Pelodiscus sinensis: one gene and its partner. The protein of the gene in region 2 interacts with the protein of the main gene of each other region in a biochemical or structural test. Links are inferred from orthologs where the notes say so. Each region holds a gene or a part of one and is shown on either strand. Other genes may lie near its edges.

The links.
Region 1: the proteins of LYN (region 2) and FASLG form a complex in vitro, tested with the Homo sapiens proteins (2 studies listed by BioGRID, with this or other methods). The link is inferred for Pelodiscus sinensis from reciprocal best matches to the Homo sapiens genes LYN and FASLG.

The regions. Positions count from the first base shown.
Region 1 is NC_134719.1:64,391,523-64,399,223, forward strand, and holds the start of FASLG (tumor necrosis factor ligand superfamily member 6), read left to right. Parts: upstream 1-4,695; 5' UTR 4,696-7,701. Other genes in the region: SUCO (SUN domain-containing ossification factor), read left to right, coding at 1,848-1,903, 2,567-3,013. UniProt on the Homo sapiens protein: Cytokine that binds to TNFRSF6/FAS, a receptor that transduces the apoptotic signal into cells. Involved in cytotoxic T-cell-mediated apoptosis, natural killer cell-mediated apoptosis and in T-cell development.
Region 2 is NC_134712.1:64,564,152-64,572,168, reverse strand, and holds the start of LYN (tyrosine-protein kinase Lyn), read left to right. Parts: upstream 1-4,999; 5' UTR 5,000-5,233; intron 5,234-8,017. UniProt on the Homo sapiens protein: Non-receptor tyrosine-protein kinase that transmits signals from cell surface receptors and plays an important role in the regulation of innate and adaptive immune responses, hematopoiesis, responses to growth factors and cytokines, integrin signaling, but also responses to DNA damage and genotoxic agents.

The DNA of each region.
Region 1 (7,701 bases), on a different chromosome or scaffold from region 2:
AAGGAAAAGAGTAAATTGGAAGAGTACAGTGGGCAATTGCTAAGCCTTGAGAACAGTCAAGTAGGGGTAGAAATCAGGCATTGCCGTGCTGAATTCGTACACTCGGTTAAATGTGGAGAGCACTTTTATATGGGGAGTTTTAAGAAGCTGAGTTCATTATTGAATAAATGAATTGTGGCTCAAAGAATTGCCAAATATTTGTAAATGAAATGAGTACACAACGTGTAAACTAAACTCTTCAATAAAAGCTGTTCATAATTAAGTCTTAACTTGTATTTGAGCATTGAGCCAAAATACTGTGACAGAAGCTTTAAATGAAAACTCCTAATACGCAGTAACTCCCATTCTATCCAGACATCAGAAATGTGCATTTACAGCACTGTGAAGGCTGATACCCCACTCTGGCATGATGAATGCAGAAGTGGGGGCCCACAAAAGCAACCCCAAAACCTTATCTCTACAAGCTTTGGTACAACACTTCCCCGCAAAATCTTAACTTAGATTTTGGGGATAAAAATATGCTGCTACCATCAGGTGCTTTTAAACCCACGACCGGGGGTGGATGCTTGAAACCAACTCCAGGGCACCCCACGCTCTTTTCCCCAAAGAGCTTGGAAAAAAAAAAAGAGAGAAAATACAAATTGCAGTCTGTGGTTGCTGTCCCCTAACCAGAGGCATGCAGATCTCAGACAGATTTTTCAGAACACAGAAATGAACCAATACCAGGTTAATAAAAAAGAAAACTTTTATTACCAAAACAATACTATTGTTGCAAGCATAATGACTAGATGGAAAAAGTTACCAATTAATATACTCATGGGGGACCCCCATGGGCTCAGGACTTAGTTACAAAAGAGAGGAAAACCCATTCTAACAGCACAGACATCAGATCCAAATTTCCAAAACAGAAAACAATAAAACCTAATGGATTTATCTAAACTTTACCCTATTTATACATTATGAAGAGTCTTTTTCTTGGAGAGAGACATGTGTTCTGCCTCCCTCAGTATCCAGAGAGCAAACTGCCCAGAGACAAAGGAGGGAAAACCCCAAAATTCCTTTGTCTCAGTTTGAAGTCCTTACCTGCATTTCTATTGGCTGAATGCTACCTGGCTAGGTACAATTAACCCCTTGGTCTCCAGGCTGCTACCCATCCCTCATGGTTATAACAAACACTCTATGCTCTGCAGAGAAAAATGTGCATTATTAAATCTTGTTCAGTTTATATAAATTAGAGGATATTAAACTTAATAAAAAATGTTCTGAAACAGTGTTTTTGATTGCTGGAAACACCAAGACATTTTTTTAACATCAAACTCGAACTCCGATCTGGACAGCTCCCCGTGGAACCCGGAAAACACCCTGTACTTTTGCCTCCTGGCTGGGAAAAAATCAGAAAATGCCAGACATTTTAGGTGTCTGGTATTTTCTGAATTTTTGTACTGGACTGTCTGGCTCAATACCAGACACCTGGCAACCCTATGACTGCCCCAAGTACTGGGTCCTTGAACACTCCCTTCTTATCTTCTGAAAATGTATTCTGCAAATCTCAACTCTGGTCTAATGTCTCAGGCAAGATCTGCAGTTGCAGAATTATATGATCAGGTAGAAGTTAGTTGCTCTGGAGATAGAACTTTTCTATTGAACATTTTGATTGGTTTACTTTCCATGAATATGCATCCTGTTCATATCTCATAGATCTTAAGATGTATGGATGGAATGCAGAGTAATAGTCCTTTCGAGGAGGAATGAAACTTCATATATACTTTCATGGTTTTAGAAATTAGTGTCTGTGGTTGCAGTTACATTTTATTGTCCTTTCATATGTATCCTTTCTTTTCTTATAGTGGATCCAAATGACTTGTATATTGTAGAACCTCTGAAGTTTTCACCAGAAAAAAAGGTATAGTAGCTTCCTTTCCGGTTTCTGCCAGCAGATGGTGCTTTTTCTCAGTCACTTATCTACAACTAGCCTTGGAAGAATTAAGTATATCCACAAATGTCAGTGAACATTGGCTTCACACCCCCACCCCACCCCCACGTGATGATAAATATTTTTATCAGTCATCAGAGGGGTAGCCATGTTAGTCAACTTCAGCAAAAACAAGGAGGAGTTCTGGAATGCCTTAAAGACTAACAAATTTATTTAAGCATAAGATTTCAGGGGCTGGAACCCACTTTGTCAGGACTCAGTGTTGTATTTACATTTTATATCAATGATGATCAAAATTTACACAGTAAGAAAAATGATCCCTGAGAACTTTAGTTTGATGTAAAGATATTTACCTTATGTATTTTGCCATGTGATGTTGATAATTTGCTTTAACCAGGTAAAGCTTTAACTTTCTGAATTTCAGCATCTACTATATTAAATAATTTTGACCCCTTGGATAATTTCCTGCAAACTGCGACAATTTGACTAAAAATAAAAATGCTTAAAATAAACATCAGTATTATCTATCAGTTATTAGAGTTCTGACAAGCCTATGTATGATCTACTATTATTCATATGCGATATGATTTTGTTTGCATTGCACAATCTAATAGTTTCTTTTTCCTTCTTTAGAAGAAACGCTGCAAATATAAAAGTGAAAAGATAGAGACGATTAAACCAGCGTCAGAGCCTCTACATCCATTAGCCAATGGGGAAATAAAAGGAAGGAAACCCTTTACGAACCAGAGAGATTTCTCTAACATTGGCGAGGTATATCATTCCTCATATAAGGGTCCTCCATCTGAAGGAAGCTCAGAAACTTCATCTCAATCCGAGGAATCCTATTTTTGTGGCATTTCAGCATGCACGACTCTGTGCAACGGACAAACCCAAAAGACAAAAACTGAGAAGAGGGCTATAAAACGAAGGCGATCTAAGGTTCCAGACCAAGGGAAGTTCATAAAAACTCTAATACAGACTAAGACTGGGTCAATGCCAAGTCTGCATGACATAATCAAAGGAAACAAAGAGATAACTGTAGGAACACTTGGTGTCACAGCTGTTTCTGGACACATCTAAAACTAGTTGGATTTCTCATGCAGGAGAGTGTTTGTTCATCTGAGAACAGTCTGTTGTACATCTTGCAGGAGAGTGATGGGAGAAGAGATCAGCTAACTGGAAAGTATTCAGAAATTATGATTTCTGTTTTTTTTAAAATAGATGGGATTGTGTCAATCTTGGTTGAGTTTCAGCTTTACAAGGCTGATGACTTCCTCTGTGGACAAATGGGGGGTGGGAGGGATCATTTTATAAAGCTTTTTTCACAATTAGTGGGGCAAAGATAGTTGAAACCCAGTTTGTTGGGTGGAATAGGGATAAAAGCCTAATCCTCTTCCTTTAGCTTTGTTCCTATTTCTTGCACCTTCCCGTATTTATGTGCCTTTTGTCTATTTATAATGCCACTGGAAGAGGAAGAGAGAAAATTGTCCTTTGATTTCTTTTGTAACTTCTCTTGCTTTTTGGAGGAGGCGACACTACAGTGCTGTAAAGGGGCATGTTGGCAGTCAGCTGGACTCAGTAGTGTGGGCTGGAGACCGTAGTAATACTAACATGGCAGACTTGTCGATTGATCTCCATTTTGAAAACTCACTTGGAAAAGATCTTGTTAGAAGCAATTGTAATGCCATTAATTACATTTTAATCAACTTCAGAATTGTTTTATTTAGGTGTGTAAAATGAATTACAGCTATGCAGTTACACTCGCTGTACGTGAAGGAGCTCATGCTGACAAACATGCCTTTGATCCCCAGACTGACCTTTGGAATTCTGTTACAATACTTAACCAAAAAGGATTGATGCTTTATTTTAGTCACTCTGTTTTCTGATCCAAGAATTTGGACATTAGGGACTACATTCAAGGAGAAATGTAAGGGTGACTAGGTACAACTGAAAATATAAGTATCCTAACCAGGGTTGGGTACAAATGCACCTGACCAATGCAAGTGAGTTTGCCAAGCCTTGAAGTCTAACAGCTCAAGTCTGTATAAAAGTGGATATTTCCATAAAGTTTGCTTTTGTATTGGCTAAGATGTGCAGGGTGTGTGTGTGTGTGTGTTTTGGTACTTTCATATGAGTTTATTTTGACCATGGTTGTATATTTGGATAAAATCGAATGTGTGACTGCATACAATGGTGTGACTGAAGCAGAGTGAATGGGACAGAAGGTTACTCCTTTTTGAGAGGTGTTATAAGTTCATGTTGTAAAACTAAGTTAACTTATTGAGCACTTTTAGTGGTACCCTTTTTTAAACAGATCAAATGCCTTTTCTGGGTATTGTATGTAATGTGACTTATTTAAAGCTTTTGTTTTTGCTGCTTTCATGTTAGTTTATGGATACTTTATGGTGATGTACTTTTAGAGACGGTCTGCACAATTAGCCAGTCAGAGCACATGGACCTGATTTATAGAATGTCTAATCAGAAAGGGCTCCAAACAAGAATGAAGAAAAAATGCTTATACTATCTGAGTGCAGCAAACAATATTGTGGAACAAGATTATGTAACTACAGAGCTGTAGTGCCATTAGAAACTGTGAATTTCCGAATAAATCTGAACACTTGTCTTATGCATTTAGTAGCTTTTCTTTTATAAATCCCCTGTTAATGGGTTGAAGCTCAAATTTGTGAAGTTGTGTGGTTTAGTTTATAGGACACTGGACTGACTGAGGCACTAGGAAACCTGGAATTTACTCCTGCATCTTAGAAAAGTCCCTTTGCCTCTCTGCTTTGATTTATCCTCTCACCATGTGTGACGGCAGGGGGCCACTTCAGTCCAGCCAGGCTGGAGTGGCCTTCCTTCCCCTTCCCCTTCTCCCCCATTTAAGCAGTTAACTGGTTAAACGTAACATTTCACTGGTTAACAAATTAAACAGGATTTTACATTCCTAATTTAGAGTGTAGACTCTTAGAGCAAGGACTGTTTCTTACTATTTGTTTGAAGAGTAACCTGCGTCAGGGAGTCCTGATCTCAGGGCCTTTAGAGGTTGCTGTAATTATAAATGAGCTAGTTTACCACTTGTAGCAGCTATAAATGTGGATTTATTGTTTGTTTCATTGGCAAGAATCTTAATTTGTGCAACTTTTTCTTGTTTCTATATCTTTAATTGTAACTTACCAAGAACTTCATTTGCAGAAAAAGTAGGTGGGCTGTCACATTTCCTCAGGCAAGAAGTTGTTTGGCCTGTGGTTTGTTTTTTAGTCTCAATCTTGACCTCTTGCTAATTATTGCCGTCTCCTATAGCCTTCAATAACCTCACAAAAAAGAAACTAAGCGATTGGAGCCTTGAACATTTAATATCTTTCCATATGGCTGTAGGTGATGGTTACCTGTTCACATCCCTAATATCACTGCTAGCTCTTGGTGCCTGCTAGGCCTTGAGTGTCTCCCTGTGCAGGTGGGTCCTAGCCAAGACTATGTGAGGGTTGTAGTTTCCAGAAACTTTTTACCGTTTTTTTTTTTTTTTTTTCTAATCCTTCACAGTTGTGGCTATCTCCTCTCTGGAGATATCTGCATGACATTACTCTTGCAACAGTAACTTTAACCAAGGCAAGATTTATTAAAAACAGGGAAAGGGGCGCTATACATTTTGGGCAGGAATAAGAAAGGGGGTGGAGAAGGAGAGACAAGCCTCTCTTCTCAGATGTGCTTAAAAGGTTTTGGATGTACTAAAACCGTTCACATCTGGAGGTTTCTCTCCTTAGCAGCAAGACTCTCCAGACATTGGAAAGCATGACAGTTCTCTCTGGAGGAATACTTAGGAGTCACTGCGTGAGCATGAGGCTTGGATGACGACTCAGCAGATCTACATTCTCTTCCTGGGGTAAGTCATTTCACCACTCGTTGCCTCAGTTTCCCCATCTGTTACCCCCTTTGCCAAGCGTTTGAGAAGGACTAGTCAACATGCAGTATTAAGAGCTAGGGTTGTGTGACATGCATATTCATAAGCCAATTTTCATAAAGCATAACTCAAAGATGCTTTAAGCAAAATGTATCCTATAAATTATCATTTTTTTTTAAAGTTACAATCTGCCAAATGTGTGTGTTTCTGTGCATCTAAGTCTTTTAGTGAAAGCAGTTAGTGGTACTGTAGGAAACTTAGTCGTCCGGTGGTCAAGGCAATGATCTGTACATGGGCTTGTTTTTCCTGTAAGCCCAAACTGTGGCTGGCTGTAGAAAAACATATCACCTGGTGCTAGAATCTATTTTGAATCTGGTATTTTTCCATGAAGATAAGGGGGGGGAACAAAAGATTCCCACGCTGGGGGAAAGTATTTAAGGAATGGAAAGCAATTGGTCTTTTGTCTTCAGTTGGCCTTTGAAATGGCCTCTCCACCCTCAGAAGATACAAATGCAGTAACCTGGAAACAAAGAACTCTTAAGGACAGAAGGGGGACATCTAGACTGCAAACCTCTTTCAAAAAAGAGCATCTAGACTACAACCAGTACTTTCAAAAAAGCAAGCTGCTTTTTCGAAAGAGCACCCAGGTAGTCTGGATGCTCTTTCAAAAAACGACAGTTTGCATTACATAGCGCCTTTTTTCAAAAAAAGGTGTTCTTCCTCGTTAAAACTAGATTTTCTGCGGTCGAAAAAATTGCCCCATTTTGATTTACTTTCCAAAGAGCACAGCAGCAGCCTAGATGCAGGGGAAGTTTTTTCGAAAAAGGCTGCTTTTTCCAAAAAAACCCTGTAGTCTAGACACACCCAAGGAGCTGTAGACCCAGGCCAAAGAAAAATCAATGGTCTTGAAGCATTTTACCTGAAATAAGGACAAGGGTGAGGAATATACTTTGAAACAATTTGTCTTAGTGTAGTAGGCTTAATTGGCATGTTTTGTTTGTTTTGGTTTAGTAACTTAGATCTGTTTTCATATGCAATCACTTAAATCCTGCTTTTTATACTTAAGAAAAGTTTTTGTCAGACCCAGTGAAATAATTGTTACCTGGGAGGAATAACAGGTGTGCATCTCTCTCATTGATAGACAGCAAATCTAATGAGCTTTCTCTGTGTAAAACATTTAGAGTAAGATGGATTTATTTGAGGTTTTAGTCCCTTTTGGGGGTTGTGTTCCTGCGTGCTGTCAACAGCCTTATAGCCGGCCCTTCCCAGAGCCAAGCTGGTTCAGTGTCTGTTGCTTTGCTGGGGTGCTGTTACCCCAACTCGGTGGCTTGGCCGGAGAACCAGAGCTTCTGGCCCAACAGGACAGGGTGGCGGCGTGCCTCAGAGAGCAGGTAGGCAGGTTCCATACAGCGGGTGACAGCCTCAAGGGGACCTTTGTGATCGAACCGGTCACAGGTTGATTACCAGTGTCTTACCCACAAACCGGTGTGATAACTCCTAGCAGCCTGAATGGCCATATAGTCCTACAGAAAAGATTTTTGTTTGAAAAAACCCCAAATAAACTGGGCAATGCAGTAACACAGCATGTTGTTAACGCAGAGTTAAGTTTGCCTGGCTGTGTCCAGTACCCCTCTGGAACACTAATGTCTAAAACTCAGAAATTAAGAGCTAAAGGTCCTTCCTTGTGCAACCTTAATTCTGCCACCTTTGAGCAATGCCCCAGCAAACCCGTTACACAGAAATAACTCCATCCTTGCTAAATTTGATAATCCCTTTGCTCTGGCACAATTCATCCCTCTCATTTCCTACCTTGCCACTGACCAGAAGACCCCTGTGTACCAATTGTAACAGAACCTACCGGATTTAACAG
Region 2 (8,017 bases):
AAAGGACTAATTAGCATACCATCTCAAGGTTTGCACTCAGCACCACTCATCCATTGGCTGCACTCAGCACCAAGCAGAATTGCACACGGCACCATTCCCATTTTCCCGTCAAACAAACTTTATAAGTCTGCTGCTTTGGGGGCTCTTGTTCTTTGTTGATCATCACTATCCCTCGTGGTCAGTGGTGTGGTGGGAAGATTTGGGTCTCTGTGGTGTTCCTCAGTGCTAGCTCTAGCGAAGGCTGGGTGAAGCATTTGAGTTACACCAACTAGAGCCTGTTGAATCTCACCTTCCCCACGGAGAACCATCTTAGGCATCTTCTACCTCATCAACCGAGTTTGTGGTGAATACCCAGATGAGAAAGAGTAGAGGAGAAGCCTTCAGGACGGGCTCAGCTGCTTGTTGCGAAAGCTCAAGGCTGGAACTGAGAACTGTTTTCTTGGCAACTATTAACTTGTTGACTTAATCAGCGTGGGATTACCTAGAGTTCCTCCCCAAAAGCTACTAGTTAGCTCTAGGGTTGTAGATCCTAGGCATCACTTACCTCACCATCAACTGCAAAGTATTTCTTTATTGTACTGGGATTATTCTTTATTCTTGTATTTATTTGGGGTGTGGATGGATGTGTTCAATATCAAGCGTTTGGGGCTGTGTTTCTAAATTTACAGTATACTTACCTTTGATTTAAACATATCTGGTCTCTGGTTATTCATTCAATTACCAGTGATAGAGATATGGAGTGCCAGACGGGTCTCACTTCTGGGGCAAAGGCATGTAACACCATTCAGAACCTCAATCTCCTAAATTGTTCAAGTTACTATGTCTCTCAAGTAACAGAGTGTGGGTGTTTTCCTCGACAAAAGTGCCATTGGATTGTAAATGCTTTCAATGTTTTGTCAACAAAAGATACGTTTTGGTGACAAAACATGCCAGGGTAGACCAGGTCTAAGACATCCACACTACAATGCTGGCTCTGCAAGAAAACGAAGAAAAAAGTCAAGATATATTGCTTTTGCATTGGTCTTTTTTTTTTCCTGTTAAAAACAAAAATAAACTTGGGGAAAGACAGGAATTTTTTAAAAAATGAAATCCAGAAGACTACCAGACTATGAAATAGATTATAAAATAGGATAACAATTTGGACCTAAACAACTGTATATACTCATTCATTAGTTTGTTAGTTTATAAGTCGACCCACCCTAAGATGAATAGTTAAAAAGAACAAACCAATGGGGTATGACCTTTTCATAAGCCAATTCTATATTTCAGAGGTTGGCAAACTTCGGTTGCCGATTTGTCAGGGTAAGCTACTGGCTCATTGGGACATTTTGTTTACCTGGAGCATCTGCAGGCATGGAGCCCTATAGCTCTCGGTGTCTGATTCACTGTTCCTGGCCAATAGGAGCAGCGAGAAGTGGCAGCCAGCAGGTACCTTGGCCTGTGCTGTTTCCAGCAGTTCCCAATGGCCAAGAATAGTGAATCACAGGCACTGGGAGCTGAGGGACTCCATCCCTGTGGACACTTCAGGTACACAAAATGTCACGGCATACCAGTGGCTTCCCCTGATGGGCTGGGTACTGAAGTTTTCCAACCTTTGATCTACAATGACAACGTAGACCTGTTGATAAGCCGACACCTACTCTTTGAGCCACTTTTTTACCAAAAAAATTCAGCTTATCAACGGGTATATATGATATCTGACAGTTCTTCAATTAAAAATAAAACTAGGAGAAATCATTCAACCAATAACCATGTAAATAGTGGAATTTCTATAGGGCAAAAGTTCTCACTTGGCAATGTTAGACTCAAATTTCAAACCCCTAGTTCCCACTTTCCAAACCCATGTGTTTTAATGTACCTTTTATCGAAGCCCAATCCACAAACTGAAATATGCAAAAGCCCCGTCAGATTTGTTGACTTATTATGGAATGTTCTTCTTCGGGTGATGTCCCTGTGGGTGCTCCTCTGTTGGTGACAGGTCATCCCCGGAACCGCAGTTCAGAGTTTTTCTTAACAGCTATTAGCTGGACCGCACATTCACTGAAGGCAGCTCGTGCTGTTGGCGGTTTGCCACCATTCATATGCAATCCTGCTCCCCCTTTCAGTTCCTCGCTAACCACCCTCAATCACAGACAGAGGGGAAAAAAGAAAGAAAAGCACTGCTTAAAGCCCTGAGAACCGGGCATCGTAGAAGTGCCATCAGTGTAATGACCCCATACCGGCTTTGGACAGGCATGATGCCTGTATACGCTGTTTGGGGGAGTCGCATACCCTCAAAAAATGTGATCACTGCCAGAGCCTTACGACAAGGGCTACAAAAGACCAGGAGCTTTGGCGCCATATGATTCTTTTCAAGTGGGCTCTGCAGGCCTCAGAAGGGTCTCAGCCCTCTTTGACTCCAGGGGATCTGTGGAAACACAGATCTGTGTCTCCCACACCTCACAAATATCTCAAGGCGAGGGTCTCCCTGGTGAGGTCGTTGTCCCTGACCACTCCCCCCCATCAAGCCAGTGGAGACTCGCCAGGCACCACAGACAACTTGGTGCCAAGAATTCTAACAAGAGTTGCTAGAATGGCACCCCATGCTCACTCCAAGCTGGATCGTTCATCGTTGGCACCAGAGAGATCATGATGGCGAACCCCGGCACTGCCGCAAGTGGCACCACAACACCCAGCACTGAGAAAGAGTGGGGAACCATCTGTCACAGCCCCACAAGTCTTCAGCACTGCCTTCTGATGTGCTAATATCAGTGCAAATGCCTCCCCCGCCAGACTCGGCAGCTGTGCCGGTGCTGCATAATCACACTGGCCAACTTGAGGGCATTCACACAGCTGATGTTGAGAATGCTCAGCCTTTGCTATGCTCTCCCTATCGAGTTCCAGGCTACATTATGTCTCCGTTGTTACACAAAAATGCTGGAGTAGCTGACACATAATCAGAGGAACACCTTCTCCTCACAACACTCCTCTCCTACTACATCTTGTCATTTTCACCATTACCGAGAGGGACCTTACCACCCACAGTGGTACCCTGACTGACATTTTTCACCTCCCAATTGTCTGCCCCATTATCCACCCCAGTGGGCCCCATGGGACTATTGGAGACCTTGCAGATGCCACTCTACAGGCCCATCTGTGTCACCAAAGAGGCTTCCACCAGCCTCCCTATCCCATACCCTTCTGAATACCGCTGAATCCGAAGACAACAAGGAGGATCAATTCTCAATGAGCACATTGTTACACGAGCCCCGTAGCTTTCCTCGAGGAACAGTTCATCCTTATCTCCTGATGAGGCAGTAATACCTGAAGATACCCATTCTACTGACGACCTGAAACAATCTCAGGAACTTTTTAAGAGGGACCACTACTCAGGAAGTTCAGCTCCAGGAGGTAAAGGAGAAACAGCACCGTCTCCTAAAGAACACCTATCCCTCCTCTCAGGGAAGGATTGCATTAACAATTGATGAAGCAATAATGGAGGAATCAGACACATCTTTGGTGGTGGATGCAGTGAATCAACATTCACAAGCTCCTCAACTTAGGTCAGCAACCAGTGACAAAGAATATAAATAACTAGCTCTATCTGGCAAAAAATATATATTTCTCTGCCACCCTGCAGCTCAGAATTGCAAACTACTCTGCATTGCTAGCCAGCCATGACTTGGATGATTACTCCAAGCTTGCTGAGCTCATGGAGCACCTCCAAAAGATCCATCCTCAGGACAATAATTTGTGAGAGGCACACCATCGCCTGCACAGCACTACTATCAGCAATAGATAGTAGCTCACCAGCAGTGGTGAGGAGAGCCTCCTGGTTGCATGTAGGAGGTGTGCTCAGGGAGCTTCAAAGAAAGGTGGAGGATCTCCCTTTTGATAAACAAAAGCTGTTTGCTGCTAATACAGACAAGATCCTGCATAGCAATAAAAACTCTCGCACCCTCAGCATGTACACGCCACCATACCAGCAAAAGACTTATCTGCCATACGACAGGAACAAAGACACTTACTAGAACTGACCACAGCATAGACCACATGACTAATAAATCCAGACAGCAGCCTCAGAGGAAGCGTCAACCTCCCTCTCTGATCTTTCAATATATTTTTTATTTCTTATTAATAAATAGCCTATTATGGGAAAGGAAACTAATTTGGACTCTGACCCTTATGTCCTGGACATAAGTTGAATCATGATCAAAGCAAAAATGTTTCCATCCTATTACCTGCCATAGCCACCTCCTCCATTTAGCCTTTCAGATTCATAAGATATTGGAGTAGGGACTGCCATTTGCTATATGTTTGTGCAGCACCTAGCACAATGGGGTCCTAGCCTGGTTAGCCTCTAGTCTAGAGCTATTACTGCAATAGTAATATTCAGGAGTGCTAACAGTGCTGCTCTGCACAGTCATACCACTCTAGTTTCCCTGTCTCATGAAGGGCAGTCATGACATGTTAGCAACATATTTAGCTTGCATTCCTTCTAAACTTCCCTAGAGTCCTGGGTGCTCTAGTGGAGCTAAAATAGTTCATTATCCGCCAGGGGAGAGAGGGAACGGAAGAAAATGCCAGAATCCCTTACTCTTCCCCGACCCCATGCAGTCTCCTCTCCTAGGTAGCAAAGAATGAGCGGAAACAGGTGGTTGTGGGGCTCTCTAGAGCAGGGCACGCCACGCCCCCTCCCGTTAGCTGGAGGGAGGGCTGCCTTGTTAAAATGAAACCAGCCCCTAGTAATCTTCCCCCTCCTGAAATCCCTTCTCATTTATTCCCTGCTGCTGGTGGAAATACCTCTGCGAGTCTTGTTTGGGTCTTTGCTTCAGTCTCCCCTCTTAAACTCTCACCCAGTGTTTTGATTTCTTGATCAAAAGCTGAACAATACTTAACATTTTTCTTAAAAATCCTCCCTTCTCTCCCCCATCCCCTTTACTGATATTTATGCAAATTCCCTAATACAGTACCAGGAAGTAAACTGAAAACTCTCAGCCAACCCACTGAAACCAAGCGAAGTTCCTCTTCTGCTCTCTGGGGTGGCAGAGGATCGGCTTAGCTGCTCTGGACTCTCTCTCCCAGCTGTAAAATCCCGTGGTCTTCAAAAAACCAAGCGAGTAGCTTTTCCTCTTCCCGAGGCTCATCAGCTGGTTTGAGTTTGAACGGCAGCCTGGCTCCTGCCCCAGCTCTGTGGCTGAAGTAACTGTGGAGTTGACTTGCTGCTTCCAAAGTTTCGCATTCAGGGAAGTAAGTAAGCGTCTTTTGTCTCCTAATTTGGCAGTGGGTAGCTTGTTTGGGCGCCGGTGGCCAAGTGTAATTTCTGCGATCCTTTCCGAGCAGCGGGAAATGCAGGGAACAGCCCTGCTGGCAGGGAGCGGACTAAGGGGGCTTCCTAGCGTTTGTCAGAGGGAACCACTGAGAGTTTCTCTCTGGGGATCAGGGGTAAGGCATCTATTTTGCAGCAGTCCTAGTTGCTATGGAAACTGTCTCCCCTCCCCCTGGATTTACCTTGCACTGCAGATCAGAGGGAACTTTCATAATAGACACTTGTTTGTCTGTTGGATCAAACAACTTATCACAGGAGCTTGGGTTTGTGCTTTGTTTATTGGCTCTCCTAACACACTGTTAGCAACACTGGGACTTGGGGGCCAGGACTTGCCCCATAGATGCTGGAACTAGAGGTGCTTCCGCTCCCAGTGGTTTGAAGTGGTTTCCATTATGTACGGGGTTTACGGTTTGGTTCCAATCTGCCAGCTCCGCTATACAGATTGTTCCAGCACCTCTGACCTGCCCTATTGGCATACCAATCAGAATAGGGAAAACTCTACCTACGTATTGGTATAATCTTCCTCTAGCCTCCTATCTCCCCTAAAATAAGGAGAAGCAAAGTCTTCAGGGAGGAGAAAAGGGGGGCTGATTGAGGATATTATAGTAGTATCCCTGAATTAGCTAAAGGGCGATTGATGTGGCAGGTCATGAAACCTGATCTTTCCCATTCACTGAAGTGAACTAGAAATATTAAATGAGCCATGTCTAAAGGGTACAGCCAGTTCAAAAGAGGAAGTGTGACATTAATGGGCAGCTTGTGTTTCTGCCCCTTAAGGGAATGGTTGTTTGAACCTCAGATAAAATACATACAGCACATTAGTTAAAAGGAAGTGAGAGTTCTTTTCGGACTGGTTAGCTTTTCCTCTAGCCTGGGGGAAGGGGTGTAGCTGCAGCTTAAGCTTTCCTGTATGGATGGTTAGTTTCAGCTTTTAAGAAAATACAGCAATTTATTTAAGAAGACTTAAAAAGGGATTGCATTTTGATGTTTTACTATGCTCTTCAGGGATATATTGTCTTCAGCCAGTCTTGACTATTCCTAATTAAAAACAAACAACAAAAGAGTTGGTATGCTAGAAAGAAGGTAGTATTACACAATGCATTTTTCTTAGTCACTTTCACAAGTTCAGACAATAGGCTTGGTTTAATTAAGAGGAAAAAATATGACCTTAGGGTATTCTGTATTAAACTTTGGATTTTAAACCTACAAGCATATAGTAAAGTAATTCTGGAGCATCTTCAATTTAAAACTGCTCCCTCTCAGCTAGATATTGAAGTGTGCTTCTGTGCTGGAAAAAAAAGTTGTTGTGGTGTTCATTTCTAAATAAAAAGATACTTTGTAAGCTGCCAGATCTACAAATTCAGCCTAGAATCTGAAAGCCAAGCTGGTTCTTTCTCTGTCAACATCATCAACTAAATTTTAACTCTGCAGTTAGAACGTAGTTGACACCCCCTGTTCTTTCTCATTCAGGAATGAAGCTCATTTCAGAGGTCAAAACTAGTTTTAGTCACTGAAATAAAGAGCTATGACTGAGAAGACACAGAGAACAAACAAGTTGAATTAGAAATTGCCGTTTTTACTTTCGTTTTTCACAATGGAAGAGCACTTTAGATGTTTTTCAGCCAAAAAAAACCCCTAAACACTCTTCTCTCACACTCACTGCAAATCTCCCATTCCCATCCTACTCACCCAATCATCTTGAAATATTACAAATTGAGGGGGAAACTCTTTACCCTCATACAGTATGATTCCTGGGTGAGTTGGCTGTAAATGGTTGTATTGTAATATCTGACAGCAGATAAACTTTGGAACAGTGTAGTAACATTTACCAAGTGATAATATAAAAACCTGCAATTTGGAACTGTCTTAACAAAATAATTAAATTATATTGGGGAGCCCAGTTTTAACACAGAATTAACTGAATTGCTTTCATGTGAATCTTTCCTGTTCTAGTATTGGATGCAGAGCAGATGTGATGGTTTATGTTATTAAGTGGGGACTTCACATCTTCATAATAAGTAGTGACAACATTTCACCTGTGGATTGGAAAACAGTTTTCTCACTAAAAGTAGAAAGGATGAAATGAACTGAGAATACTGCCTATTAGGAGTGTATGGAAACACAGGAGACAATTAAAATTCATGGATTATTCAGCCAATAGGTCAAGAAAATGAGAAACCTATTTCAAAATTAATATTATAAAGCTGGCACTGGATAAAAATTACATAAAAGTTGAAATGTTTCTTGATTTGAGGATGTTTTTCATCAGTAAATGTTGAGATATATCTTGCTTATTACATCATTACAATATTTTGCCAATTACTGTAAATTGCTGGATGTAAAGGGGTTCCGCTTTTCCATGTACCCCTCTGGGTAAGCAAGACTCCTTGTTACAAAGACACAAACAATGGCAGAAAGGTCTTTTTTAATATTTTGATCAGTAAAATCATTCAGTGGCTGTTTTTGTAGACAATACTTTTGACTGCAATGATTAACTATCTGCTAATACTAGGCATTTTTTACTCTATTAGCATTACAGTTTTCAGATGCGTTTCACCTGGTCCAAACTAGTGGATGGATTTTCGACAAATTTTTAAATCTTTGCTTCCTGATTCTGTCTCTAGAAATGGCACACCTTGTTCGGTGACCCTCTTGCAAGTTAAACTGCAATATGCCCTTTTTATAAGGGAGACCTCTTAACCTTCCCAG